7 linked regions of the Macaca mulatta genome follow. The protein of the gene in region 5 interacts with the protein of the main gene of each other region in a biochemical or structural test. Links are inferred from orthologs where the notes say so. Each region holds a gene or a part of one and is shown on either strand. Other genes may lie near its edges.

Evidence for each region.
Region 1: the proteins of RHOA (region 5) and PKN2 form a complex in vitro, tested with the Homo sapiens proteins (2 studies listed by BioGRID, with this or other methods). The link is inferred for Macaca mulatta from reciprocal best matches to the Homo sapiens genes RHOA and PKN2.
Region 2: the proteins of RHOA (region 5) and CIT form a complex in vitro, tested with the Homo sapiens proteins (2 studies listed by BioGRID, with this or other methods). The link is inferred for Macaca mulatta from reciprocal best matches to the Homo sapiens genes RHOA and CIT.
Region 3: the proteins of RHOA (region 5) and SMURF1 form a complex in vitro, tested with the Homo sapiens proteins (2 studies listed by BioGRID and IntAct, with this or other methods). The link is inferred for Macaca mulatta from reciprocal best matches to the Homo sapiens genes RHOA and SMURF1.
Region 4: of the proteins of RHOA (region 5) and SMURF2, one has a biochemical effect on the other in vitro, tested with the Homo sapiens proteins (3 studies listed by BioGRID, with this or other methods). The link is inferred for Macaca mulatta from reciprocal best matches to the Homo sapiens genes RHOA and SMURF2.
Region 6: the proteins of RHOA (region 5) and RTKN form a complex in vitro, tested with the Homo sapiens proteins (8 studies listed by BioGRID). The link is inferred for Macaca mulatta from reciprocal best matches to the Homo sapiens genes RHOA and RTKN.
Region 7: of the proteins of RHOA (region 5) and ARHGAP32, one has a biochemical effect on the other in vitro, tested with the Homo sapiens proteins (3 studies listed by BioGRID). The link is inferred for Macaca mulatta from reciprocal best matches to the Homo sapiens genes RHOA and ARHGAP32.

What each region holds. Positions count from the first base shown.
Region 1 is NC_133406.1:151,798,441-151,802,369, reverse strand, and holds part of PKN2 (serine/threonine-protein kinase N2), read left to right. Parts: intron 1-1,458; coding exon 1,459-1,602; intron 1,603-1,920; coding exon 1,921-1,996; intron 1,997-2,571; coding exon 2,572-2,746; intron 2,747-2,962; coding exon 2,963-3,089; intron 3,090-3,929. UniProt on the Homo sapiens protein: PKC-related serine/threonine-protein kinase and Rho/Rac effector protein that participates in specific signal transduction responses in the cell.
Region 2 is NC_133416.1:127,159,490-127,164,108, forward strand, and holds the start of CIT (citron Rho-interacting kinase), read right to left. Parts: upstream 3,078-4,619; 5' UTR 3,002-3,077; intron 1,931-3,001; 5' UTR 1,918-1,930; coding exon 1,822-1,917; intron 1-1,821. UniProt on the Homo sapiens protein: Plays a role in cytokinesis. Required for KIF14 localization to the central spindle and midbody. Putative RHO/RAC effector that binds to the GTP-bound forms of RHO and RAC1. It probably binds p21 with a tighter specificity in vivo.
Region 3 is NC_133408.1:46,363,852-46,368,443, forward strand, and holds the start of SMURF1 (E3 ubiquitin-protein ligase SMURF1), read right to left. Parts: upstream 2,974-4,592; 5' UTR 2,936-2,973; coding exon 2,881-2,935; intron 1-2,880. UniProt on the Homo sapiens protein: E3 ubiquitin-protein ligase that acts as a negative regulator of BMP signaling pathway. Mediates ubiquitination and degradation of SMAD1 and SMAD5, 2 receptor-regulated SMADs specific for the BMP pathway.
Region 4 is NC_133421.1:74,453,766-74,457,694, forward strand, and holds part of SMURF2 (E3 ubiquitin-protein ligase SMURF2), read right to left. Parts: intron 3,893-3,929; coding exon 3,714-3,892; intron 2,874-3,713; coding exon 2,736-2,873; intron 1-2,735. UniProt on the Homo sapiens protein: E3 ubiquitin-protein ligase which accepts ubiquitin from an E2 ubiquitin-conjugating enzyme in the form of a thioester and then directly transfers the ubiquitin to targeted substrates.
Region 5 is NC_133407.1:112,801,220-112,803,952, forward strand, and holds the end of RHOA (transforming protein RhoA), read right to left. Parts: intron 2,037-2,733; exon of another isoform or gene 1,827-2,036; coding exon 1,653-1,826; 3' UTR 581-1,652; downstream 1-580. UniProt on the Homo sapiens protein: Small GTPase which cycles between an active GTP-bound and an inactive GDP-bound state.
Region 6 is NC_133418.1:50,374,679-50,378,324, forward strand, and holds part of RTKN (rhotekin), read left to right. Parts: intron 1-1,462; coding exon 1,463-1,524; intron 1,525-1,621; coding exon 1,622-1,675; intron 1,676-1,774; coding exon 1,775-1,892; intron 1,893-2,083; coding exon 2,084-2,293; intron 2,294-3,154; coding exon 3,155-3,249; intron 3,250-3,359; coding exon 3,360-3,466; intron 3,467-3,646. UniProt on the Homo sapiens protein: Mediates Rho signaling to activate NF-kappa-B and may confer increased resistance to apoptosis to cells in gastric tumorigenesis. May play a novel role in the organization of septin structures.
Region 7 is NC_133419.1:129,332,849-129,336,777, reverse strand, and holds part of ARHGAP32 (rho GTPase-activating protein 32), read left to right. Parts: intron 1-107; coding exon 108-1,150; intron 1,151-2,462; coding exon 2,463-3,929. UniProt on the Homo sapiens protein: GTPase-activating protein (GAP) promoting GTP hydrolysis on RHOA, CDC42 and RAC1 small GTPases. May be involved in the differentiation of neuronal cells during the formation of neurite extensions.

The sequences.
Region 1 (3,929 bases), on a different chromosome or scaffold from region 5:
AGTCTAAATTACCAATCCTGACATGATTCTTCCAGTTTATTTCCCAAAATAGCTGCTTCCAAAATACTTACACTTCTAACTTGAATAGAATATTACAGCCTTAGTACCCCATCCCTTCTGTATGCCATTTGCTAGTCTTAAAATAATTATATTCTCCTCATACTTCTTTCATGACAATTCTCTCCCATATTAATTATGAGTCAGAGAGAAGAAATGAGGTGGGAGTCCCTGAGATCACATTCTCACTGCCATAGATGTACTTTTCTAATTGTTTTCCTGTTTGGCTATAAAACCCTCTGGCCCATTGTGTTTTGATTCATTTCTTTTCATGTTGCATTTTTTATAGGTGTTTTTCGTGTTCATTAGCATCAACTAGATTTATAATTTAAGGTCAATAGATTTTTTTTACTGTATATACCAAGACCTTACATAATAAGATGCATAAGTTTATAAATTGAAATTTGTTATATAAAGTAAGTAATTTACTGCTTTGTAGAGCCTTAAAAGGAGAAACATTTATCTCTTTATGTGGATGGTGTACAGAAGCCTAAAAAACAAAATAATAGAAAAGTCCAGTACTTTATGATTAAAATATATATACATTAAAACATATAGGTAGTGGTCAGTATATGGATTGACCCCAGCTTAGGAACTATGTTCTACAGGTGCATTTAAACACTGATTATTAAAACCTTAAATATATTTCCCCACATGAGCATTTTCAATGTCTACTGTGTATTCTCTCATATAGCTTTGGTATAATTAACTTGTCCCTGGTTTTTGAACATTCAAATTCTTGCTAATTTGCTTTTTAAATTATGTTTTATTGTTATAATAAGCGAATATCTTTGTGTATAAAGCTTGGTCTGAATTTCCCCTTTCTGCCCTACGTACACAAAATGGGTCTTGCTACCCAGTGGTATTTTGAAAATTAAATGACCTAATATTCTTAAAGTGCTTATTAGCACAATATGTGGCACATTGTGAGTACAGAATAAATGCTATTTGCAGAACTTTTTCTGACTCAGCAATGAGACAAAGAAATAAAAAGGTTTCAAATGAGTTCTTTGAAGCAAGCAAGCATTGGGGTAGTAACATAGCATGTGATGACAAACAGAGGAGGGAAATCCAAAAGATTGAAGCTGTAAGAGAAGGAGTTTTGGTGGTTATTCATATGTACTGGTTGTTCCCAGTTGTGTATTCTTTAAGTATACTTTAGGAATACCTTAGCTGGAAAGTGTCACAGTGTAAGTTTTGTTCCTTTGAATTAAAATGTGTAAGTTTGATAAAGTAATATACAGTTGAGAAACATTACAAATCTCTTTAAAACAGTGTGACCTTTGTGTCTGTAATTTTTGTTCATTGTATTTGTATTTCATATTTTTGTGATATTTTATTCAAGTGTGTGTCCAATGATGTCTTTTCTGTTTTCTTTATTATTTTTTTTAATTATCCTAGTCACGTGAACTGGAAATTTCAGTTTATTGGCGTGATTGGCGGTCTCTGTGTGCTGTAAAATTTCTGAGGTTAGAAGATTTTTTAGACAACCAGCGGCATGGCATGTGTCTCTATTTGGAACCACAGGGTACTTTATTTGCAGAGGTAATAAATGTATTTTATTAATGTGCATAACTACAATTGAAATTACGTATGTAGGCAGCATAATATAGAAGTGGAAAGAGTGTTAGGCTGAGAGACAGATGACTTGAGTTTTGGCTGAGCTATGCCACTGAATAGGTATGTGACCTTGAGACAAACCAATTATTCTTTCTATGTCTGTTTTCTCAGCTAGAAAATGAGGGGCTGGACTAAACTATAACTAAGATTCTCTTAAGCTTTCAAATTTTATAAGTTTAGTGGATTTCATGAACCATAAATCCAATGCTATTTTCATGTCAACTTGAATTTTCTTCACTGCAGGTTACCTTTTTTAACCCAGTTATTGAAAGAAGACCAAAACTTCAAAGACAAAAGAAAATTTTTTCAAAGCAACAAGGTAATTACTAACAATCAAATACATAGCATTTTGATATTTTCTTAAACATCTAATTACCATTTTAAAAGTAATAGCCATCTGTGGTTTTTTTTGTTGTTGTTTATTCATTTATTTCTAATTTCTTATTAAGGAATATTGTAAATGTATCCACAAGTGAAGAGACTAGTGAAATGTACAATCATCCAATTTCAACAATAGTCAACTCATTTTATTTTATCCATATGCCATCCTCTCACTACTTTCTCAAATTTGAAGCAAACCCAGACATCCTACTGATTTATTCATAAATATTATAGTTTAGATCTGTAAAAGATAAGATTTCTTTTTAAAACCTTAATCACATATTACTACTAGACTTAAAGAGAAAAAAAAATTTCTTACCTATTTATTTTTAAAACTACTTATGCTATTTTGCACCAGCCTTTACTAGCAAATAGTAAAAAACTAGTTTTTTTAAGTGACAAATTTTGTTTGTTCTTCATAGATTATAAACTGACGAGTAAGAATTTTTAAATTATGACTTTTGGTTATACATAAATTACTTGTTCTATTTTTGTTATTTTCAATATATACAGGCAAAACATTTCTCAGAGCTCCTCAAATGAATATTAATATTGCCACTTGGGGAAGGCTAGTAAGAAGAGCTATTCCTACAGTAAATCATTCTGGCACCTTCAGCCCTCAAGCTCCTGTGCCTACTACAGTGCCAGTGGTTGATGTACGCATCCCTGAACTAGCACCTCCAGCTAGGTATGTGTCTGAGATTTTAAGCATCTTATGCAAAGTTATTGGGACAATTACGTACCGATTATAGCAGGTGTACTGAGTCTTGTTTTTTTCCCCAAGTAGTATTTTGAAAGTAGTGTTCTGTGTACTTAAAAAGTAAATTGTTTGCTTTAATTTTAAAGTGGTTTAAAATACAGACTTTCTATTACTGTTTTGGTGAGTTACTTTATCTTCTATAAGTGATTCTACAGTAACCAAATTGGACTTTGATCTTGAGCCTGAACCTCCTCCAGCCCCACCACGAGCTTCTTCCCTTGGAGAAATAGATGAATCTTCTGAATTAAGAGTTTTGGATACACCAGGACAGGCAAGCCATTTTAAACCTTGCATAATTCCTTTTCACCGAATGAATTAGCAGTGAAAGCATCATAGTGAATAAGGCGTGTATTTCCATTTAAAATTGCCACTGTGAATTTATTGTTTTTTGTTTGTTTTTTGTTTTTGTTTTTTGAGACGGAGTTTCACTCTTGTTGCTCAGGCTGGAGTGCAATGGCATGATCTTGGCTTACTGCAGCCTCTGCCTCCCAGGTTCAAGTCATCCTCCTGCAAGCAATTCTCCTATCTCAGCCTCCCAAGTAACTAGGGTTACAGGCACATGCCACCATGACCAGCTAATTTTTGTATTTTTAGTAGAGATGGGGTTTCATCATATTGGTCAGGCTGGTCCTGACCTCAAGTGATCTGCCCGCCTCTGCCTTCCAAAGTGCTGGCATTACAGGCATGAGCCACTGCGCCCAGCCGAATTTGTGTTTCTTATGGTCTAGTCTCAGCTAAATTAGACTGAGTTGATAGGAGATAACCAACTTCTTAATGTTGGCATGAAATTGTCGTTAGCCTCTGGATGCTCATGGTCCAGAAGAGATAGAATAAGCTGCTTAAGCTATAGGTAACATAGGAGTGAGTTTGATACTACATGACATACTGCCTGAAATACTATTCTTCTTCTAGCATGATTAACATACATAATAATGTGTTAGTTTTTTGTTGTTTTGGTTTTGTTTTGTTTTGGTTTGGTTTTAAGATAGAGTTTTGCTCTTGTTGCCCAGGCTGGAGTGCAATGGCACTATCTTGGCTCACTGCAACCTCCACCTCCTGGGTTCAAGTGATTCCCCTGCCTCAGCCTCCCAAGTAGCTGGGATTACAGGCA
Region 2 (4,619 bases), on a different chromosome or scaffold from region 5:
ATATCTCATTTAATCCTCACAACAACCCTGTGGATTAGGTACTACAACCTCTACGTTATTTTTTTGTTTTATTTTGAGATGGAGTCTCACCCACTCTGCTGCCCAGGCTGGAGTGCAGTGGCACGATCTCAGCTCACTGCAACCTCCGCCTCCCGGGTCCAAACGATTCTCCTGCTTCAGCCTTTCAAGTAGCTGGGATTACAGGTGCATGCCACCACCACGCCCAGCTAATTTTCTATATTTTTAGTAGAGATGGGGTTTCACTATGTTGGCCAGGCTGGTCTCGAACTCGTGACCTCAAGTAATCCACCCACCTCAGCCTCTCAAAATACTGGGATTACAGGCTACAACCTATTTTAAAGAACAGCAAATGGACTCAGAAAAGGTAACTGACTCACCCAGAGTAACACAGCTAACTAGTGCTGGGACTGGGATTCAATTCTAAATCTTCACAGTCTCTATTGTCCCCCTGACTTATGAATACATAAATCAAACAAGGATTTCTACTTCACCAGTGTTCTATATACATCAGAAACAAAAGAATTAAAAATCTATTTGGAAGTAATCTTATGACATTAAGTTTTAACACATCTGGGGTGATGGAAATGTGTTATCTTGAGAGGAATGAGGGTTAAACAGGTGTGATATTCATCAAAACTTTTTTTTAAATCTTAAAAAATAAACATCCCTGCAATGAAAATGAATAGGATGATACCCACAGAAATTGTAGTTTTAAAAAGCATCTTTGTTCATTTATTTTTCTTTCTCCAATAAAAGGGCAAACTCACCCTGGTGCAGTGACTTACGCCTGTAAGCCCAACACTTTCAGAGGCTGCGACAGGTGGATCACTTGAGCCTAGGAATTCGAGACCTGCCTGGGCAACATGGTGAAACCTCACCTCTACAAAAAATACAAAAATTAGCCAGGTGTGGTGGCACACACCTGTGGTCCCAGCTACTTGGAAAGCTGAAGTGGGAGGATCGCTTGAGCCCGGGAGGTCAAGGCTACAGTGAGCCGTGATTGTGCCAACGCACTCCAGCCTGAGCCACAGAGCAAGACCCTGTCAATCAATCAATTAATGAACTTTAGTACAGAAGTGTAAAGTGTGAGAAATATGAAAGGATCTCCCTCCTAAGGCAAGTTCAGCTATCTACTTCTGCAGTGTCCTTTTTCCAAAATAATCAGTGCATATAAAACTCCAAATAGAAGGCCAGTGCAGTGGCTCACACCTATAACCCCAGTGCTTTGGGAGGCCAAGGCAGGCCTCACTTGAAGTCAGGTGTTCAATATCAGCCTGGGCAACATAGTGAGACCCCATCCCTACAAAAAATTTAAAAATTAGTTGGGCATGGTGGCACAGGCCTAGAGTCGACAGAAGACCTTGTTTCAAGCAAAACAAAACAGAATTTCTCCTAAAATATTATCCTTGGTCCTATAATGAAAGCAAGCCTGGCGCATTTCATGCCTGTAATCCCAGCACTTTGGGAGGCCAAGGCAGGAGGATCACTTGAGGTCAGGAGTTTGACTCCAGCCTGGCCAACATGGTGAAACCCGTCTCTACTAAAAAAAAAAAAAAATACAAAACTTAGTCGGGTGTGGTGGCAGGCGCCTATAGTCCCAGCTACTCTGGAGGCGGAGGCAGGAGAATCGCTTGAACCCAGGAGGCAGAGGTTGCAGTGAGCTGAGATTGCCCCACTGTACTCCAGCCTGAGCGACAGAGTGAGACTCTAAATAAATAAATAAAATAAAAGCAAAGGTGAGTGACAAGGAGATTCCAAGGAAACACACAGGTGAGCAAAGTTGGCAGGGTAGCCTGTTACCTGGAAGAATAGATTCAGCCTGGAGGCCCGGCTGGCAATGGGTTCAGCAGCACCAGCATCCAAAGGATTCCGCGCTCCATATTTGAACTTCAACATCTCCCCACTGGTGCTGAAAGGATATCAGAAAAGTCAAGTATGTCCTATGTTTTGAGCAGGAAGGGCTTGAGAGATCCTGATCTCCCTCAAGGTATCAGGGACAAGGAGATGAAAATTAGCTACCACTCCAGTTTTAGGAAGCTCAGTCTAATCATGGAGATTAAACACCAGATTTTAACTCACCGTAACAGGAGGTGATACACTTATCTGACATACTCTCTTACTTATCAATGTGTCTATTATCTCCCCCCTTAGAATGGAAGCTCCACAAGGGCAGAGATTTTTGCCCCCACGCAGTGGGGGCACACATAGCCTGGCACATAAATAGGTGTGAATAAGTAGTTATTAAATGAATGACTGAAATAAGCAAACTATATATAGTTTGTTGGAAGGTGTTAAGTGCTATGAGGTAAAAACAAAACCAAGTAAGATAAGGGCAATGGGGGTGAGACGGTGCAATCTTTAGTGTGGTCAAGTCAGACTTCACAGAAGACACCATTTGACCCAAGACTTGAAGACCTGAAGCGGGTGACCAGCAAGCCATGTTGATATCTGGGGAAAGAAAGATATCCGTGGCAAAGGAAACAGCCAAGCCAAAAGCACTGAGGCAGGATCTGGCCTCTCCAACAATAACAGGGAGGCCAGAGGGAATGGAGCAGAGCGAAAGAGGCGGGGGCATCAGGAGGTGGTGGGATGGGCACGAGGTATGAAGACACTGAAACAGAGAGGTTAAGAAAATTGCTATCACGCAGATAATAAGGAACTGGCTGACTACACTGGGCAGAATAAAGCAGTTAGTGCTGACAGGAGGCAGAGCTGAAGAGACGAAGGGCTCCTCCTGGTTTAGGGGAGGAGCAAGCCTCCCGCCCCGGCACCACCCGGCAGGCCCCTCGGCTCCTGAGGAGGGTGCGCGCGCGCACAGCCAGCCTGGGAAGACCCTCCAGGCCTCCCGCAGCCCTAGGGGTGGAAGCACCGCCCTCCCCGCGGCGGGAGGGAAAGCCGGGACTGGTGTGGGTGGAGGCGGCCTTCCCCTGGCCTTGCGGAGCAGGGTGCGGTAGAATTGGGTCTAGGGGCTCAGACTCACGCTCTGCGGACCCGGCTGGTCTGCGATCTGCTCCGCCCCGCGCCTCCCGCCGCCGCGTTTGAACCAGAGGAACGGCGCGGGCGGGTCTCAGCCGTGTCTGGACCAATCAGCGTGCCCGTTCCTATGATAGACATGGGCTTCTCAGCCAGGCCCCGCCCACGTCTTTAAAGTGATGGAGAAAGTGAAAAGGAGAGCCAATCAAATTGCATCTTCCTTTGACTCGCGACCAATGGGATAAAGGGAAGGGCAAAGTCGGCTGGGCAGGTCTTGGAAGTTTGAAATTGGCGGTTAAGCCGGATGCTGCGTTTGGGGACGCGACTGTTTATCTAGGATCCCTGAGGAAGTCGCCTGGGTGCTGTCCCCTGCTCTCGGCCACCCGCGAGGAGGTAGGCAGCCAGGCTACTCAGCCTGGTCTTCTTTCTCTCTCACGCGGCTAAGGTAGAAGTACTTGTCACCTGGGGAAACCCAATGGTTCTCTGCTACAGCTGAGGCGGCGAATGTTTTGAGGTTGACTTCAACCTACCTTGATTACTCTATCTCCCGGCTGACTGCCCTGCAAGGAGTTGATGAAAGTCATTGAGGCTGTCTGAAAGGACACTTTAAAATAAATTATAGAAGAGATACTTAAAACAGGCACGTCACCAAAACGGAAATCCAGATGACCAACAAATGTATGAAAGGTGTCAACCTCGTTCATAATCAGAAAAAATGAAAAATAAAGTCACAATGAGAAACAATAACACTCAAATTCGAGAACAACAACAAAAAAAGGATGTGACAGTGTTTGCGAAGATGTGGAGGTACACACATTTATACAGTACCCGTAGACGTGTAAATGGACACAATCTCTGAAATTTAAAAAAAACAAAGTATGGCACTATTTGCTAACATTGAAGATTTGTGCATTCTATGACTATTGCTAGGAGTAGTTTCTCTACCTAAGAAAAACTCCTATTTATTTATTTATTTATTTTGAGGCGAAGTGTTGCTCTGTCTCCCAGGCTGGAGTGCAATGGCACGATCTCGCCTCACTGCAACCTCCGCCTCCCAGGTTCAAGCTATTCTCTTGTCTCACCCTTCCAAGTAACTGGGATTACAGGTGCACACCACCATGCCCAATTGTTTGTATTTTTAGTAAAGATGGGGTTTCACCATGTTGGCCAGGCTGGTCTTGAACTCCTGACCTCAAGTGATCCGCCCACCTCTGCCTCCCAAAGTGCTGAGATTACAGGCCTTAGCCACCGCTCCCAGCGAGAAACTCCTACTTATGTACACCAAGAGATGTGTATAAGAATACAAAATAGTGTTGGCAAAAAACTGGAAGCGACATAAATGTCTATCAGCAGTAGAAAAGACAAAATTGTATATTGCAGTGTTTTCATAAACAATGAACAAGAATAAACTGCAACTAACCACAATGGCATAATGAGTCTCAAAACAAGGCCTAATGAAGGAAGCAAGACAATGACATATGATTCCATTCATATAAATTCCAAAAGCGGACAAAACAAAACAACGTAGTTTAAGGAGGGATGTATTTAGGTTGATGCAAATCATTGAGGTTTTTGCCATTTTTAAAAGTAATGGCAAACCCATAAAGAAAGCAAAAGTCAGAATA
Region 3 (4,592 bases), on a different chromosome or scaffold from region 5:
TAACAAAAGTATTCAACTTCTGAAAGATTGTTACTCAACATTCCAGAAGTGAGAGTTCAAACTTCCCTTAACCAAAAAGATGAGGCCAAAACCTATTCCGCTGTCAACAAACTTTCTAGTTCAAACCTTTCGAGGTAAACTAAGGTTCCACGTACTGGCATTGCATGTGTACACCATCACCGCTAAACCGCAATTGTATTGTAAGGATGATCACACTCACAGATCCTCTCAAACCATTCATAACATCTACTGAAAGGGAAAGGGAAAGGGAAAGGGAAAGGGAAAAGGTGTTTCAGAAAGAACACTCATCACCTGGTCCTTCCCTATCAAATGTCATCCAAAAATTCCTTAAAGCATTCTTGCATCGATAATCTAAATTCCTGAATCCAAAAATAATTTGGGAGGAGGACAACCCAAGTCCTCCCTTTCAAGGCCCAGGCTTGGCAACTAGGATTAATTAATATATATATACCGGACATAAACATTTCAATTAAAACCTATTCCTTCTAAAACACTCATCATATTTCTAACAAAACACAAAATCAGTTGCTTTCGCTTTTAACAAGATAACTGAAACCAATATGATGTCAATTACAGACTGAGTTGTAAATCAGAACCAAGTTAAAAGCTTTCCAAGTATTACAATCTCAAAAATGTTACTTTTATGTTACCGCATAAATAAAAATGTATCTACATTGTATCTACAAAGTGAGAAGTGTTTCCTATCAGCCCTGGTGTGAAGAAATCTATTTCCCCAGAAGCAAAGATCCCAGAGGAAACTACCTCTTACATTACAAAACCAGGGTCTGGGTCTGGGTCCAAATCATTATCTCATTATCTTTATACAAAAAAACAAAACCTTCTCTTCAGACAAAAGTTGGGCCATGCAACAACTATGGGCTCTCAAAGTAAATTTTAGTTTTAAAAAAATTACCCATTGTTTGCATGGATTTTACCGATGACTTTATGGCTGCGCATCTGCCATATAGTGTTCAAAACGCTCATTCTCTCTTTGAAAGGACCTGCCCAGACCAGGACTTTGGAGTTCTCACCCGACTGAGCCACTGAACAGAAAAATCCAGGGGAAAATCCCTGACGGGGATTAGAATGAACTTTTTAGTTTCTTTCCAGAGCTGGAAATATTCGAGTTTGGAAAGTCCCGGAGCAGAGCCACATTTGCAACACGGCCGTCCTGCTTTAGGGATGAATTGAAACTGGGAAGACAGTAGTACCAGGGAGAGTGAGAAAGGGAAGATGAGGATGCAGCCTGGTCCAGAACCTCTGGAGCCCACTAGGGAGACAGACTGGCATCACATCCACGCCACCAAGTCGCAGGCCCACGGCAGAGAGTTGCGCTCACCCTTGAAGGTGGCACTACAGAGCCACCCAGGAAACACGGGCTTTTCACTGAAGACGAAATGAATCAAGGAGCCTGCGTGTGGGCAGCTTCCAAAGCCTCCAGTGAGTGTGGGAGTAGGGATCAGCGTCTCACGGGCGCTCAGGGTTGCTGAGTGTGAGGGTGATGGTGAAACAAAATGCAGAAAAGGTAAAAATTGAAGAAGCCGAGTCAAAAGTAGCTAGCGGTCTGGCCTAAGAGACAGGAAGTGGCCCAGACTGAGACTGACGAGGGCTGGACCAGGGGGAAGTGAGGAGAGCAGGACTGGGAGCAGCTACAAGATAGGATTGAGGAATTTCAGGCTGAAGGAAAGAAAGGGTGGAGGCCCCGCCAGACAGCAGCGAGGGGGCGGGGCTAGGCAGGAATGAGGGCGGGGCTTGAAAGTGAGGGGCGGGGCTAGTGGAAGAAGGAAATGAGGACGGTGTAGGGGGTGAGGGAGAAACGAAAAAGGATTGAGGGGGTGAGAAGCGGGTGGGTGGGGGCAGGAGGGCAGAAGCAAGGGGCAAGTGGAAGGGGAGATAGCAAAAGAGAGGATGGAAGTGGGGGAGAAGCGGGTGGGAAAGTCCAGGAGGATGAAGGGAGCGAGCAGGTGGGAGGGGAAACAGGAAAGCAAGAGAGAGGATGGGAAAGTGGTGAGAAGTGAGGGATGGGACCAGGGGAACAGAGGCGAGGCCAGGAAGGAAAAGCGAGGGGGCAGGTGGGCGGAGAGGTTGGGAAGCAAGGAGAAGCATGGAGGGCGTAAAAACGGCGGAGGAGAGAAATAAACGAGAGAAGCAAGGGGACGGGGCCAGGAATGAAGAAGCGAGGGGGTGGGACCAGGAAGAAGTGAGGGCCGAGGCTAGGAAAGAAGTGAGGAGGCGGGACCAGGAAGAAGTGAAGGCCCAGGCTAGGAAAGAAGTGAGGGGGCGGAACCAGAGAGAAGCAAGGGAGCTGGACCCAGGGAGAAGCGAGGGGGCGGGGCCAGAGAAGTAAGGAGGCGGGAGCAGACAGGAGCGAGGGGGCGGGACCAGGGAGATGTGAGGGGTCAGGTGCCGGGGAGGTAAAGGTGGGGAAAGGAGAGGACCGCCAGGGGGCGGGGCCTGGAGGGAGAAGCGAGGGGTCCGGTGCTAGGGAGAAGAAGGGAAGCGAGAGGCAAGGGGCCGAGCCGGGGAGAGGTGAGGGGACAGGGCCTGGAAGGAGATGCAAGGGGCGTGGCCAGGAATGGAAATGAGAGGGGCGGACCCAGGACGGAGACGCGAAGGGGCAGGTGCGGGGGAACGGGAGACCGTGGGGGCGCGAGCGGCCAGGGGGCGGGGCCGGGCAACGGCGAGGGGGCGGGGCCGGGAGGGAGAAGCAAGGGGCGCACGCCGAAGGGGGTGACGAGGTCCTGGGACAACGGCCGGCGTGGGGGAGGGCCGCTTCCAAGGGCGCCCGGCGGGGAATTCCACGGAGGGCGAGGGGGCGCAGGGGCGCAGGGGCGCGGGTGGGCCTCCCGCCGGCCGTACCTGTCAGACGGATCTTGATGCTGGAGCCGTTCCTGCGTGTCCCGGGGTTCGACATCTCCCGCCAACGATCGGGCAGCCGCGGATCCAGCGCCGCCGCCCCCCGGCCCGGCCCGGCCCGGCCCCGCCGCCGCCGCCTCAAGGTTACGGCTCCGGGCTGGGCGCCGGGGTCCGAGCCGGGACACAAACTCCGCGGCCCAGGCGTCCGGGCGGCAGGCGGATGGTCGAGCCGGGAGATCGGCGCTCGCTGCGGCGCTCTGACTCTCGCTCCTCCCAGCCGAGCCCAGTCCCGAGCCGCAGCCGCCGCCGCCTCCACCACCTCAGAGCCGGACGCCAGCCGCCCTCGCCGCTTCCGCCGCCGCCGCCGCCGCCGCCTCCCCGAGCCGCGCGCGCGCCCGCCGCCGTGCCGGCCCGGCCCTGCGCGCCCCCGTGCCTGCGTGCGTGCGCGCCCCCGCGGCGTGCTCCGGGGCGGGGCGGGGCGCGCCGCTACGTCGCCCACCCGCCTCGGGCGCGCGAGGCCCGGATCGCGCGGGATGGGGTCTTCCCGCTTCCTCGAGCCAGCGGGTGGGAGAGTCTGGCCCCAAGCCCGGGAAGGGAGAGCAGAGCTGGCCCCGGGGCCCAGTGCGCCGTCGCCCTCTGTTTTGGCCCCTGTCTCTGCGAGGCTCTGAGTGGCTCCTGAGTGACTGAAGAGGTGTTTGCATGAAACCGTGGGCTGTGTCCATACCAAGCACCTTGCACACAGGCGTGCAATACCAGTTTTTTTAGTTGAGAGCTTTCGATCGTGCAAGTTCAAGGGAGGGACTTCTCAAAGAGACAAAGCGCTTAGGTGTGTTCTGTACAACCGGTGTGCTCCACTGACCCATAACAAAGTTGCCAGAATCGCAGAAGTGCCATATACGGACAAGGAAAATGAGATGAGAGAGGGATAAAGTTGAGAGGCGGATGCTTGTTATTATCCAATCTGCATACAATTTTACCAAACAAGAAAGCAGCATTGTGGTTGGTGTTCCCCAGTCTTCTGCTAAGTTTCCCCTTCTCCCAGGGTTGCAGGTTAGAACCAACAGCTCATGGCTGGGTAAGGTGGCTGTAGCCTGTAATCCCAGCACTTTGGGAGGCCGAGGCGGGCAGATCACTTGAGCCCAGGACTTTGAAGCCAGCCTGGGCAACATAGGGAGACACCATCTCTACAAAAAATACAAAAATTAGCTGGGCACGGTGGTGCACGCCTGTAGTCCCAGGTACTGGGAGGCTGAAGTGGGAGGAACGCTTGAGCCCCAGAGTTCAAGGTTGCAGTGACTATGATCAGGCCACTGCACTGCAGCCTGGGCGACAGAGCTAGACACTGTCTCCAAACACACACACACACACACACACACACACACACACACACAAAGTTCATTATGCGCTTTCTCCAGCAAACAAACGCCTTTCTGTTAGCATGTTATAGAAAGAAAATGATATGTTATTAGAAAGAGAAAGCTAGGTTTATCAAACTTGTTTTTTACCCACTACCTTTTTTTTTTTTTTCTTTTGAGACAGGGTCTCACTCTGTCACCAAGGCTGGAGTGCAGTGGCACGATCTTGGCTCACTGCAACCTCCACCTCTGGGGTTCAAGCGATTCTCATGCCTTAGCCTCCCAGATAGCTGGGATTACAGGCGTTAGCCACCACACCCAGCTAATTTTTGTGTTTTTGGTAGAGATGGGATTTCGCTG
Region 4 (3,929 bases), on a different chromosome or scaffold from region 5:
AATCCTCAAACCAAAAATGAGAAGAAACAGTAAAAGCCAATAGCAAGTGCTTTTTGATTAAATAATCATTGTTCTCTAGAGGATATAAAAATTCTGGAAGATGTAATTTTACCAATAAAAAATGCACTAAACTACATCTACTGTGTGACTGTATGATTTATAAGTGAATTGCTTTTATTTATCTACCTACCCAAGAAGACCTCTCCATCTCACACATCACAGAACTTACTCATCTGTCAAATTTGTTACCATTTCCAAATCTGGAGAAATGGTTCTCCACTTCAAGAGAGAAGTTACTTAACAACACATCCTTTGGAGGACCATATTTCTGTTTGCTGGGCTAAGGGGACAGAAAAACTGTACAACTGTAAAAATTTTTCTTTGTAATTTTTAATCTCAAAACTGTAGCTGGCAAGGCATTAGTACCGTGTGCTGTAAACACGACTGAACCCTGGAGAGTGGGATCCAGGGACTGAGTAGGACACACGAGGTCTTGAAAAGGAGATACTGCTAAGACTTAGGAAATTCTCATTTGTTCTTTCTTTTTTTATTATTTTAAATTTATATTAGATAGAGTTTCGCTCTGTCGCCCAGGCTGGAGTGCAGTGGTGTGATCTCAGCTTACTGCAACCTCCACCTCCCAGGTTCAAGTGGTTCTCCTGCCTCAGCCTTCAAAGCAGCTAGGATTACAGGTGCCTGCCAACACACTTGGCTAATTTTTGTATTTTTAGTAGAGACAAGGTTTCACCATGTTAGCTAGGCTGGTCTCAAACTCTTGACCTCAGCTGATCCACCCACTCTGGCCTCCCAAAATGCTGGGATTACAGGCATGAGCCACCACACCCAGCCTGTTCTTTCATTTTTTAAAGTAGAAATGTAATACATACTTTTTATGCATGTAACAAAAAAACAAACATTAACTATGGAGACAGTAAAATATGAAAGTCCATTCTTTTACCCTCTTTCTCCTCCCTATTTCCAGTCCCATCACCTCCACTCCCTCATCCTAGGCAAAAACTTTATTTGACTGCAGCCTCCTGAACATCTTCAGTATAATTATAAAAAAAAAAAAAAAAAACCAGCCAGGCACGGTGGCTTACGCTGTAATCCCAACACTTTGGGAGGCCAAGGCAAGCAGATCATGAGGTCAGGAGTTTGAGAACAGCATGGTCAATATGGTGAAACCCCATCTCTGCCAATAATACAAAAATTCGCCGGGTGTGGTGGTGCGCACCTGTACTCCCAGCTACTCGGGAGGCTGAGGCAGGAGAATCACTTGAACCTGGGAGGCAGAGGTTGCAGTGAGCCAAGATTGTGCCACTGCACTCCAGCCTGGGCAACAGAGTGAGACTCTGTCTCAAAGAAAAACAAAAGAAAACAAAAAACAAAACAAAACAAAAAAACATAGACTTTGTTCCTACATAATTCTTGTAAGATTTAGTTTTAAAATATGACAGCTTATGTAGTCTTTCTTTTAAATATCCACATAATATTCTGTTGAATGTATAATATAATCATTCTTCTCTAAAAAGATTTTAGTAGTGTAATTTTTACAAGTAGTATTTAATTGACCATCCTTTCCTGTACTTCTTCAATTACATGTGTGTTTCTGCAGAAGAGTCCTAAACACAGAGCTGCTAAAGGGCATGTACTGCTGGTATCAAACCGCTTTCCAGAAAAGCTATGCCAGTGTTCACTCCAATCAAGTGGACCTCATTTTTAAACTAGGAACAATGTTAGTAAGATTTGAGAACATGATCTATACAAAAAAAGTATAGCATGCAAGTTTCTGTGTACATACAGTAAAGTTCAAGTTCAAACTTCCAAAGCTGATTACCACAGTTTTGTTTGGTAGACTTTTTATTTCTCATAAGCCAAATTAGCCCAATACATAAAAATTCCTCAAATTTACTTTATGAAATCTGAAAAACATTTATTTACATTTATCCCTAAACTCACAATGTGCTTGTTTATAAACAGGCTAAATGTTAGTAATATACAGCACAAAAGCCCTTCTGAATTGCCACCTGTGATAGCTACACCACACATGGCCCCATTGCCCACATCTCCTGGTATTCACACCTTTGTACAGCTCCTCTTCCATGATGAAACTGGGCTGGCTGTCTCAGTTTAACCAGAACTAGACAGAAGTCATGTTGGCCAGGACCAGGCTTAGGCCTTAAAAAGATCTACAGCTTCTGCTTTTGAGCTTTGGAAAGCTGGCCACCCCATAAGAAGTCTATCAATACAGTGGGTAACATGATTAACCTTCATTACAATGAAGGGACAAACTTTTCAGGGAGAAAGAGTGGCTATGGGGAGAGGGAGTGGTCATGGAGAGAGGGAATGGCCTTTGATATCACAGAGGGAGAACCAAGGAACTCAGCCAACAATGAGAACTAGGACCCAGCCAGTGACCCCAGTCGACAGCCATGCCAGCTAGCCCTCGGCCATTTGAGTTATCCTAGTTATGAGTGAAGAGGCCATCTTGGTGTTGCAGGCCTAGCTGACATCTTGTGGAACAGCAGTGTGTCATCCATGTTGTTCTTTTGCCCAATTTCCTGACCCTTGGAATTGTGAGAAATAATAAAATGGCTGTTCTTAATAAGCCACTAAATTCTGCTGAAGCGGATTTTGTAACACTAAGTAATACTATCTAAATATTTAAGTTTGTTCATACTAACATCCTAGAACATTTTAAAAAAATTCAGCCTTGAGAACACAGGAGTGTTTACCTGACATATTCTTTTTTATTTTCTTCATTAACAGGGATACTTTTGCCATTTGGTTTAAGTTCATGCTGAATAATTTCACCATATGCATTATGTTCAACACAGAAGGTATGGTCCAAAACACCTGTAATATCATTCTCACTGGAAAGGAAAGAGGAAGAGATAGGTAACTGGGAAACCTAAAATACAGACCCTATAGATGTATTAACTGGTGAGATAAAACTAAGATCATTTTATAATATGACAAATGTGAGGTCAGATTCAGCTTATGAACTCTTAAACTACCACACTACCTAGTTCTTTCTGGACAGAAAAGTCAAAGAGCTTTAACCTGCATAAACACAGGAAACATTTAACTTCCTGAGTGATGAGAAAGAGCCCTGGTCAAAGCTGGGACTTGCTAGAACCACCAATATAGGACAATTTCAGTTATATTTGGCATTCTGAAGAGCGCTACTCGGTACTGTACTCCAAGGGGCCAAGTGCCTGTGTATCCCTAGTTGAGAAAGCCACTGTATACTTTATAAAAAATAAACATTTCCAGTGTATCTTCATAAAAATAACGACCTCTTGCAAAACAGAATCAGTTCTTAGCTTAAATTCAACAATTAGTTCTTATCTAAAAGTATGGTTCCAACAATCGCCACTTCATTAAAAGCAATGGCAGCAAGAATTTGCTATTCTAACACATGCAGGTTTGGAACAGAATTTACATCACATTGAGGAAATAATCATATAAAGTACTTTTAAAAATAGAATATACTAGTTTTTTTTTTTCTTTTTAAAGTAGTAACACTTGCTAAGTTTAAGGAATTTGAAATATATAAAGAAGCTACAGAAAGGGGGAAATCATATGAGATCCTATCACTCAACCACTCAATATTTTCTGTGTAATTTTTTTTAAGTACATCGGTTTTGAAACTTTTTTTTAAAAGCTCAAGAGTTTAACTATAATGAAGAGACAGAAGACTCAATACATACAGTATCCACACTAAACTGTTATGAAGATCTGGATCTACTAACTCCATGTCATCCAAAGTAATCGACTTCCCAAGCAATTGCTTATAAAAAGGCAAAGTGAAACCACCATCAATATAATGTCCATGAAACACAGCCATTCCCATTATTCGTCCAACAAAGTGGAAATAGGATAAATGTTCCTGAAATTGAAAAGAGTGTATATACTCAAGTTAGAAA
Region 5 (2,733 bases):
CAGGTCACCCTTCCGAGGGCTGGGGCCCTCGAGGGCTCCGTTTTCTTTCTCAAAGGCTCCTCAATTAGGATGTGGGGTTCGGCATAGAAGGCTGGTGGGCGGCGGCAGCAGCTGCCGGTGCGCAAACAGCCCTCCTCTCCTGTGCCATGTTACCGGCAGTGCAGGGGACAGCCAGAGGGATATGGGCTTCCGGTCTCCCTCCTCCCTGTCTCCAAAGCGGCACCGCCCTTGCGCGGGTTTTCTAACAGGGCAGAGTCCTGGAAGCTCTGCCCCAGCTTCCTGAAGTGGAGCCCAAGAGCTCGTCAGGGCCAAGGAAACGCGGCCTGAGTCCTCCCTCTCTGGCCTCCTCAGTAGGCTGCATTCACCCTCCCCCCAAATCTGAACTAGAATGCGGTACAGGGTAATCATTTCCATGTTGTTGGGAGGGACCAGATTAGCTGCTGGGTAGGTGGGAGGTGGGGCACAACCTAGTCTTTTGCACCCTGAACAAACCTCTCCAGGGTGAGCTAGGCCAGGAAGTCCTTGCATCCTCCTGCCCCCAGCCCTGGAGAGAGCAACACAAACAACAGGATACACGAAGTTTAGAAAACTGCCTTTATTCTATTAGTAGTTGGAAAAATTAACTGGTACAGAAAAAAAGTTTAGTCAGCTGGAGAGAAGAGAGACTGAGTGCCACCTATGAGAACTGGTGGCTCCTCTGGGAGGGAACCTGGATACAGTGAGGAGAAGAGCACTGTGAATTAGAGCCAGATGCTGAAGTCCAGGTGAGACAGGTTATGCCACCTTCCAAAGTGTCTAATTGCCTCAGGCGTGAAACCAATTCCTATTTACTTAGCCCAGCTCCAGATAGGGGTACTGAGATACATGGGGCCGAAAAGGGGTAATATGGCCATCTTTTATCAGAAAAAGTGACAAAACGGGAATTTAAAAAATGAATTTTCCATCTGACTTTATTTCCAAATACACTTTCTTTTTTAAAAAACCAATACACTTTCTTTGGGGATGACAAATATCAGTATTAGGAAATCCAATTATACAAAAAATACTACATCTAGTCTGGGGTAGATATATTTATTTTTGGTAACATACATTAAGTGGCACTAATTACACAGTAACTATAAGGTAACTAACATGAAACCACAGAACTGTAACTCTGCCACAGCTGCATGAACTTGGGCTTTTCTGGTTGAGCCCATTTTCAAAAAACTGCCCACCCCAGAGCTATGCCAACAAAATCTGTTAATGAGTAAAGCCCTGAAGTGGTGACTCACCAGAGTACCTTGCAGCTGACAGATAATAGGCAGGACATGTTAGTTATAAAGTAGTTACAGCCTAATTCACAAAAGTTACCAACTGTTTCTCTTTCTAGAAAGAAGCAAGAAGTTAAGAAATTCCTTGAATTAGCGCCTGGTGTGTCAGGTGGGAGTGCAGAGGAGGGCTGTTAGAGCAGTGTCAAAAGGACCCTGGTGGGCCAGACGGGTTGGACATCATTAATAATCATAGTTGGCTTCTAAATACTGGTAGCAAGATGACTTCTGATTTGTAATCTTAGGTAAATTATAGATAAATGAAAAAGGCCAGTAATCATACACTAAGATTAATAAACAGCACTTCAAAATTAACCGCATAAGGGCTGTGCTTGCAGCAAGGTTTCACAAGACAAGGCACCCAGATTTTTTCTTCCCACGTCTAGCTTGCAGAGCAGCTCTCGTAGCCATTTCAAAAACCTCTCTCACTCCATCTTTGGTCTTTGCTGAACACTCCATGTACCCAAAAGCACCAATCCTGTTTGCCATATCTCTGCCTTCTTCAGGTTTCACCGGCTCCTAGCAAAAAGAAAAAACAGTCCTTTTAGCTAATAGTGTGGCATACATATAGTAAGTAAAGAGTATTCAAATTCAGCTTAAAGACTTTTTTTTTCTTGTTTTGCAACAGTTTTACTCTTGTCAGTCGCCCAGGCTGGGCTGCAATGGTATGATCTCAGCTCACTGCAACCTCCATCTCCTGGGTTCAAGCGATTCTCCTGCCTCAGCCTCCTGAGTGGCTGGGACTACAGGTGCCCACCACCACACCCAGCTAATTTTTTAGTAGAGATGGGGGTTTCACCAGTTTGGCCAGACTGGTCTCGAACTCCTGACCACGTGATCTGCCCACCCCGGCCTCCCAAAGAGCTGGAATTACAGGCATGAGCCACTGTGCCCAGTCTTAAAAAAAGACTTTTTTTTTTTTTTTGAGACAAAGTCTGGCTCTGTCGCCCAGGCTGGAGTACAGTGGCGCAATCTCGGCTCACTGCAACCTCTGCCTCCCGGGTTCACGCCATTCTCCTGCCTCAGCCTCCTGAGTAGCTGGGACTACAGGCGCCCGCCACCACACCCAGCTAATTTTTTGTATTTTTAGTAGAAACGGGGTTTCACCGTGTTCGCCAGGATGGTCTCGACCTCCTGACCTTGTGATCCGCCCGCCTCAGCCTCCCAAAGTGAGCCACTGCGCCCGGCCAAAAAAAAAAAGACTTTTAAAAGCTGTTAAACTTGGCTATGTGCGGTGGCTCACGCCTGTAATCCCAGCATTTTGGGAGGCTGAGCTGGGCAGATCACGAGGTCAGGAGATCAAGACCATCCTGGCCAACATGGTGAAACACCTCTTTACTAAAATATAAAAAATTAGCCAGGCATGGTGGCGGGCACCTGTAATCCCAGCTACTCAGGAGGCTGAGGCAAGGGAATTGCTTGAACC
Region 6 (3,646 bases), on a different chromosome or scaffold from region 5:
TGGTTCACAAAATGGCCAATTTACCACATACCGACAATAGTTTGTTATCCGGGGTTCACCATCAGAGGCAGGGAGTGGGAAAGGAAATAAGAAACCACTTAAGGAAAGCCTACCCATTCAAACAAATTAGATTGTGCATTCTAAAAGGGTGCAGCTTCTGGACATAAAATGTAAGCAACACTGACATTAGACTGTTGATCTGACAAGTCTATAATGACTTAAGTGATGCCATGATAAAACCAAAATAGTGGGGAAAATATTTGGCAAATTATTCTAAGAATATGCCAATTTGGATAAAGTGGTCATTTGGAGAACTGGTTTTTAGGAAAGTGGCCTACTTACTCCACTGAGGCTGCTTGGGGAATTAGTCCCAGCCCCTCACAGGCGTGGTGCTCATTCCACCCATGAAGGCTGACACAAGGGGAGGTTGCCAGGAGCTCACCCATGAAGCTACCAGAAGGCAGAAAACCCACTCTATGGCTATCCCATGAAGCTAGAGGAAGGGCAAGCTGGCGGGGGGACAGCCTCTCCTGAAAAGCAGCATGGACAGACTCTGTCCTGCCGAAGTCCTCACACAGCCCACACAGGTGATTTGAGGTACACCCCAAGTGCCTGGCAGCTAAACACATTGCCATTAGTGCCACATCATTTAGCTTAAGGCTCTACTAAGTCAGTAATTACTTTAGTGGCATTATGGATAAGTACAGATGAACTGGCAGTCGCTTCAGGAAAGAGACACATGTGGTGAGTCCTGATGCGCGGGGAGGGAAGGAAGGTGGGGTGTTGGGCCCTGCAGTGGGGTGGGTAGGGGGCTGCAGAACTTGGGGCACTAGTAGGGTACAGCATATAGGGCCAGGAGGAAAAAGGAGAAATCAAAGTTGGGGAGTGGTAGGGAAGGAAAAGGGTCTGTAGTGAATAGAATGTAACTCTTCCCTATTGGTGATTTCCCTTTGAACAAACGTTGGCCAAATTATTTTCTGACCCAGTACCCTCCTATATCAAAGCAGTGATGGGATAGTGGGAAATAAGCAGCCTTCCTATTGTTAAAAAAAAAAAAAGAAAACAGAAAGAAAAAAAAAGCCTGGAAATGCCTCTAAGGCAGGGGTTTAATGGAGAGCCCTGGAAATGAAGTCTCTCTGTGGGCACCTGTCCCCTCAAGGCCACACCTGTCCTTGGCAGGGGTCTGGAGAGGTGGTCAGGGAGGGTGCTTGGAGAGAGGAGCCCTGAGCTTGTGCCTTATGTGTGAGTTAACGTGGCTTGAGTGTCCCTGGTGTCCCCAAGCCTGGCAAACTGCTGGGTTCAATGGACAACTTTCCCTTTATAGTCCCTCAGCCCTGCCTGTCAGCCTGGCTGGGGACCTGGTGGCTGAAGCCCTGGGACCAGGGCGATCCTAGAGTCCTTGGGCAGAGCAAGGGGGAATAGTGGCTAGAGGCCAGGCCAGGACATTGTTATTTATCCACAGGCCTTCTGACAGTGGCCCGCCCGCTGAGCGCTCCCCCTGCCGCGGCCGGGTCTGCATCTCCGGTAAGAAGCACAGCTACCCCAGCTGCTGGCACCCCTTGCCCAAGCACACGGCCTTTTGCCCCATCTCAACATCTGTTCCTACCCCCCTGCCCCTTAGACCTCCGGATTCCACTCATGTGGAAGGACACAGAATATTTCAAGAACAAAGGTGGTGAGTTCCACACACCCTGGGACAGATTCAGGGGAATGACCCTGACGTAGGAGGCTCTTGTGGGACGTGTTTTTTGAGTTTTGCCCTCTTTGTTCCTAGACTTGCACCGCTGGGCTGTGTTCCTGCTACTGCAGCTGGGGGAACACATCCAGGACACAGAGATGATCCTGGTGGACAGGACCCTTACAGACATCTCCTTTCAGAGCAATGTGCTCTTGTGAGTACCTCAAACTGTGGCTCCCTTCCTCCACTCTGCTCCAGTTCTAGATGAGCAAGTTCCAGGGGAGGAAGCTGTGGGTGGGGGGCACCTGGCCTTCCCTGTGGAGCTGTCCTGCACTTGCCCCACCCACATCCCCCACCCTCTGCCTCCCTGGACTTTCCTGTGATCACCCTCCTTCCTCCCACCAGCGCTGAGGCGGGGCCAGACTTTGAACTTCGGTTAGAGCTGTATGGGGCCTGTGTGGAAGAAGAGGGGGCCCTGACTGGTGCCCCCAAGAGGCTTGCCACCAAACTCAGCAGCTCCCTGGGCCGCTCCTCAGGGAGGCGTGTCCGGGCATCGCTGGACAGTGCTGGGGGTTCAGGGAGCAGTCCCATCTTGCTTCCCACCCCAGCTGTTGGGTAAGGCCTTGCACACTGCCACTACCCTCAGCTGCCTATATTCGGCCCACAGGTGACCTTTGAACTGTGTTGAGTGTGCAGAACCCATTTTGCATTGCTGCCAGGATGTGCAGACAGACATGAATGAGCAGTGGCCACGTAGCTGGGAGGCATTCCAGCCCACGCCCCAGAGCTGGGCTGAAGCCAGTCCAGAATACCAGTAGGAAGGCAGGGAGACTTAGGCCTTGGGGTCTTAACTTTTTAGTAGCAGCAAATACATTTTATTTTTAGAGACGGGGTCTCGAACTCTTGGGCTGAAGTGATCCTCCCGCCTCGGCCTCCCAAAGTGGTAGAATTACAGGCATGAGCCACAGCACTCAGCCTAGCAAATACATTTTATGTGGATAGAGCAGAGCTTCTTGGTTGGAGCAGAGTACCCTGGACCTGTGGTGGTATCTACATGCACCCGGAGACACCTCATGGGACCACTGAGACTCTGAGAAGCAGTTTGAGAACCTTTGGGTAGTCAACAGAATACTGATTTTGGACACAGATATGGGTTCAAATTCAAACTCCCCCACTTTCCAGTTACAAACTATGGGCAAGTTTCTTAACCTCTCTAAGCCTCAAGTTGCCTCATCTAGTTGAAGAATGCCACCAACCTCACAGGGCTGTCATAGGAATACAGTGGGATAAAACATATAAAGCATAGGTCCTGACACTTAGCTGGAGCTCAGTAAATGTTCATTCCTAACCCTCTGGGGAGACAAGCGAGTTTTCTGTGGGGCAGCCTGAACAATGGGGCAGATGTGCTCAGCCCTTAGAGTTCCTGCTGGCCAACACGCCCCTCCCTCGGCTGATGCTCTCTCCTATCTCCCTTAGTGGTCCTCGTTACCACCTCTTGGCTCACACCACACTCACCCTGGCAGCAGTGCAAGATGGATTCCGCACACATGACCTCACCCTTGCCAGTCATGGTAAGCATGTATGTGCATGGGGGACACACACATGTGATGGTGAGAAGAGGGGCTGTGGGACGGTCCCCTTCTCATTCCCCTACCTCACCCTGCACTTCCTCCTCCCCCAGAGGAGAACCCTGCCTGGCTACCCCTTTATGGTAGTGTGTGTTGCCGTCTGGCAGCTCAGCCTCTCTGCATGACTCAGCCTACTGCAAGTGGTACCCTCAGGGTGCAGGTGAGGTGAGAGGGCCCTGAGGAGTGGAAGGGAGCAGGGAGAAGGCAGAGGAGAGCTGGATAACCAGGAATAGAAGAGCTAATGAAAAATCAAGATTTGGGTGGAAGAAATGGGATATGACCAGATGAGGGGAGGAATGGACAGCAGGGTGGACAAAAGGGGGGCTGAGAAGAGAGATAC
Region 7 (3,929 bases), on a different chromosome or scaffold from region 5:
TGGAAGGCACCTATTTTTTAGTGATCACATGGGGAGTGTTTGGCTTTCCATTTAGGATAACGTAAGCTACCTTTTCACTCTCATTTTTTTTCCCAATTTCCCACTAGGAGCAGTTACCCATGACCCCCCTCAGGATTCCGTTCCTGTCAGTTCAGTCTCTCTTATCCCACCACCACCGCCTCCGAAAAATGTTGCCCGAATGTTGGCGCTAGCATTAGCTGAGTCCGCACAGCAAGCCTCAACTCAGTCATTGAAGAGACCAGGGACCTCTCAGGCTGGGTATACAAATTATGGAGATATAGCGGTGGCTACAACTGAAGATAATCTGCCCAGTTCTTACTCTGCAGTTGCTCTAGATAAGGCCTATTTTCAAACCGATCGACCAGCAGAGCAGTTTCACCTCCAGAATAACGCACCAGGAAACTGTGACCATCCTCTACCAGAGACAACAGCTGTTGGGGATCCTACCCATTCCAACACAACTGAATCTGGGGAGCAATATCACCAAGTAGACTTAACAGGGAATCAGCCACATCAAACATATTTATCTGGGGACCCAGAAAAGGCCAGAATTACTTCAGTTCCCTTAGACTCAGAGAAGTCGGATGATCTTATAAGTTTCCCTGAAGACCAGTCTGGGAAGAACAGTATGCCAGCTGTCTCCTTCTTGGATCAGGACCAGTCTCCACCCCGTTTCTACAGTGGAGATCACCCTCCTTCTTATCTTGGTGCAAGTGTGGATAAACCCCATCACCCTTTAGAATTTGCAGACAAATCTCCCACGCCTCCTAATTTACCTAGGGATAAAATCTTCCTTCCTTCTGGGTCCCTTGCAGACAAATCACCCACACCTCCTAATTTACCTAGGGATAAAATCTATCCTTCTGGGTCCCCCGAAGAGAATACCAGCACAGCCACCATGACGTACATGACAACTACTCCAGCAACAGCCCAAATGAGCACCAAGGAAGTCAGCTGGGATGTGGCTGAACAACCCACCACTGCTGATTTTGCTGCTGCCACCCTTCAGCGCACACACAGAACTAATCGTCCCCTTCCCCCTCCACCTTCCCAGAGATCTGCAGAGCAGCCACCAGTTGTGGGGCAGGTACAAGCAGCAACCAATATAGGATTAAATAATTCCCACAAGGTAAGAAGGGGAAGATATCAGTGAGATGAAATATACTATTACCAAAGGTATGTCACTTTTCAGCAGGGTGTGTTGTTACCTTTGAGTCAGACACAACAATTGCTTTTAAGCCCTATGGCTGGTTTCCATGAAATAATTCCCATTTGAGGTTGGAGCCTGCCGTTACCTTGATGCTGGCTTTTCCCGAGAAAAGGGAGTAGCTCCTCCATGACTATAGCTTAACTGTACCTGCTCCCTTTTCTTCTAAAGTGTCTTGGTAGTTTATTCCTAGTAACACAATAAACTAGTAAAACACTAGTTTATTCCTAGTAACACTTAGTAAGACAAAGTGGGCTTTAAGGTTGTGAGTTTTTTTTTTTTTTTTTTTTTTATTCCAACTCCATCGCTGACTCATTGTGACTTTGGGCAAGTCATTTACCTACCCTCTGCCAATTATTCACAGTTACACAATGAAAATACTTCATTCTCAAAACATCCGTAGGACTGTCTGCCTTGCAGACTTTTTGCAAGTGTAAGAGATTATAGTACCTTGGGATTTTTGTTACTTTCCTAGCATCCACCAGCAGTTTGTCCCATAGTCAGGCACCTGCTTCAGTGAGAGAATGTAGTATACAGAATGCTAAGGTTTCTTCCTGAATTTCCTCATATTTTAAGAAGGGCCACAGGTTGTTTTTCTTAGTCATCTTGAACTATTAATAGGACCTCAGATTTTAGACCTTAGTGGAGGATGCTGTGTTTACTGCTTCTCAAGGATAGCATGTTTTCAGTATGAGGATTATCTTTGGCCAGACTAAGGTGGAATCAAAGGTAGGGGAGAGGCAGTAGCCTCTGATTTGAATATTGCCTTTCCCTATTTTTGAAGGCCTAAAGCTGCTCAGTGTGTACAACTGTGAATTTCAAAAGTCTCTCCAGATGATAGAATTAACTCTTAATTTAACAAAATGTCCTTGGTGTTGAGACTGAGCTAGACTAAGAGACCGGGTATGTATTTTTAAGCTCTACAGTATTACTTGACTAAACCTCTCTTGGTTTGTATATTAAAATCATGCCATAGGCCACCTCGCCTCGCATTTAAAACCTCTCATAAATTAGAAAACTTTGAATGGTTCTCCAGAGAGAATACTATATTTATACAAAATAGCAGCACCAGCCTTCTTTTCCTATCAGTGGGTACAGATTCATTGCAACCACATGGCTTGGGAAAGTTCAAGTTGCTACCCAACCAGCCTCAATTTGTGAGTTACAAATTTAATAGTACTTGATTCATAGACGGAACAAAAAATAGATGCATAGTATTATGGTCTTTCAATAGGTTCAAGGAGCAGTTCCAGTTCCAGAGAGGCCACCTGAACCTCGAGCCGTGGATGACCCTGCGTCTGCCTTCATCAGTGACAGTGGTGCAGCTGCTGCTCAGTGTCCCATGGCTACAGCTGTCCAGCCAGGCCTGCCTGAGAAAGTGCGGGATGGTGCCCGGGCCCCGCTGCTGCACCTGCGTGCCGAGTCTGTCCCTGCACATCCCTGTGGCTTTCCTACACCACTGCCCCCCACCAGGACGATGGAGAGTAAGATGGCTGCTGCCATACATTCCAGCAGTGCAGATGCCACCAGCAGTTCAAATTATCATTCCTTTGTCACTGCTTCATCCGCCTCTGTGGATGATGCATTGCCTTTACCACTTCCTGTCCCACAACCTAAGCATGCTTCTCAGAAAACAGTTTACTCCTCCTTTGCTAGGCCCGATGTCACCACTGAACCCTTTGGTCCAGAAAACTGTTTGCATTTCAGTATGACTCCAAACTGCCAGTACCGTCCCCAGAGTGTACCTCCACATCACAGTAAATTGGAGCAGCACCAAGTGTATGGTGCCAGGTCAGAGCCACCAGCCTCCATGGGTCTTCGTTATAACACATATGTGGCCCCAGGAAGAAACGCATCTGGACACCATTCCAAGCCATGCAGCCGGATCGAGTATGTGTCGTCTTTGAGCTCCTCTGTTAGGAATACCTGTTACCCTGAAGACATTCCACCATACCCTACCATCCGGAGAGTGCAGTCTCTCCATGCTCCGCCGTCTTCCATGATTCGCTCTGTTCCCATTTCACGGACAGAAGTTCCCCCAGATGATGAGCCAGCCTACTGCCCAAGACCCCTGTACCAATATAAGCCATATCAGTCCTCCCAGGCCCGCTCCGATTATCACGTCACTCAGCTGCAGCCTTACTTTGAGAATGGCCGGGTCCACTACAGGTATAGCCCATATTCCAGTTCTTCTAGTTCCTATTACAGTCCAGATGGGGCCCTGTGTGATGTGGATGCCTATGGCACAGTCCAGTTGAGACCCCTTCACCGCCTTCCCAATCGAGACTTTGCTTTCTACAATCCTAGGCTGCAAGGAAAGAACTTGTACAGTTATGCTGGTTTGCCTCCACGTCCCCGGGCCAACGTGACTGGCTATTTCTCTCCCAACGACCATAATGTAGTCAACATGCCTCCGGCGGCTGATGTGAAGCACACCTACACCTCATGGGATCTTGAGGACATGGAAAAATACCGCATGCAGTCCATCCGGAGAGAGAGCCGTGCTCGGCAGAAGGTGAAAGGGCCTGTCATGTCCCAGTATGATAACATGACCCCGGCCGTGCAGGACGACTTGGGTGGGATCTATGTCATCCATCTGCGTAGTAAATCAGATCCTGGGAAAACTGGACTTCTGTCAGTGGCAGAAGGAAAGGAAGGCCGCCATGCAGCCAAGGCCATCAGTCCCGAGGGAGAGGACCGC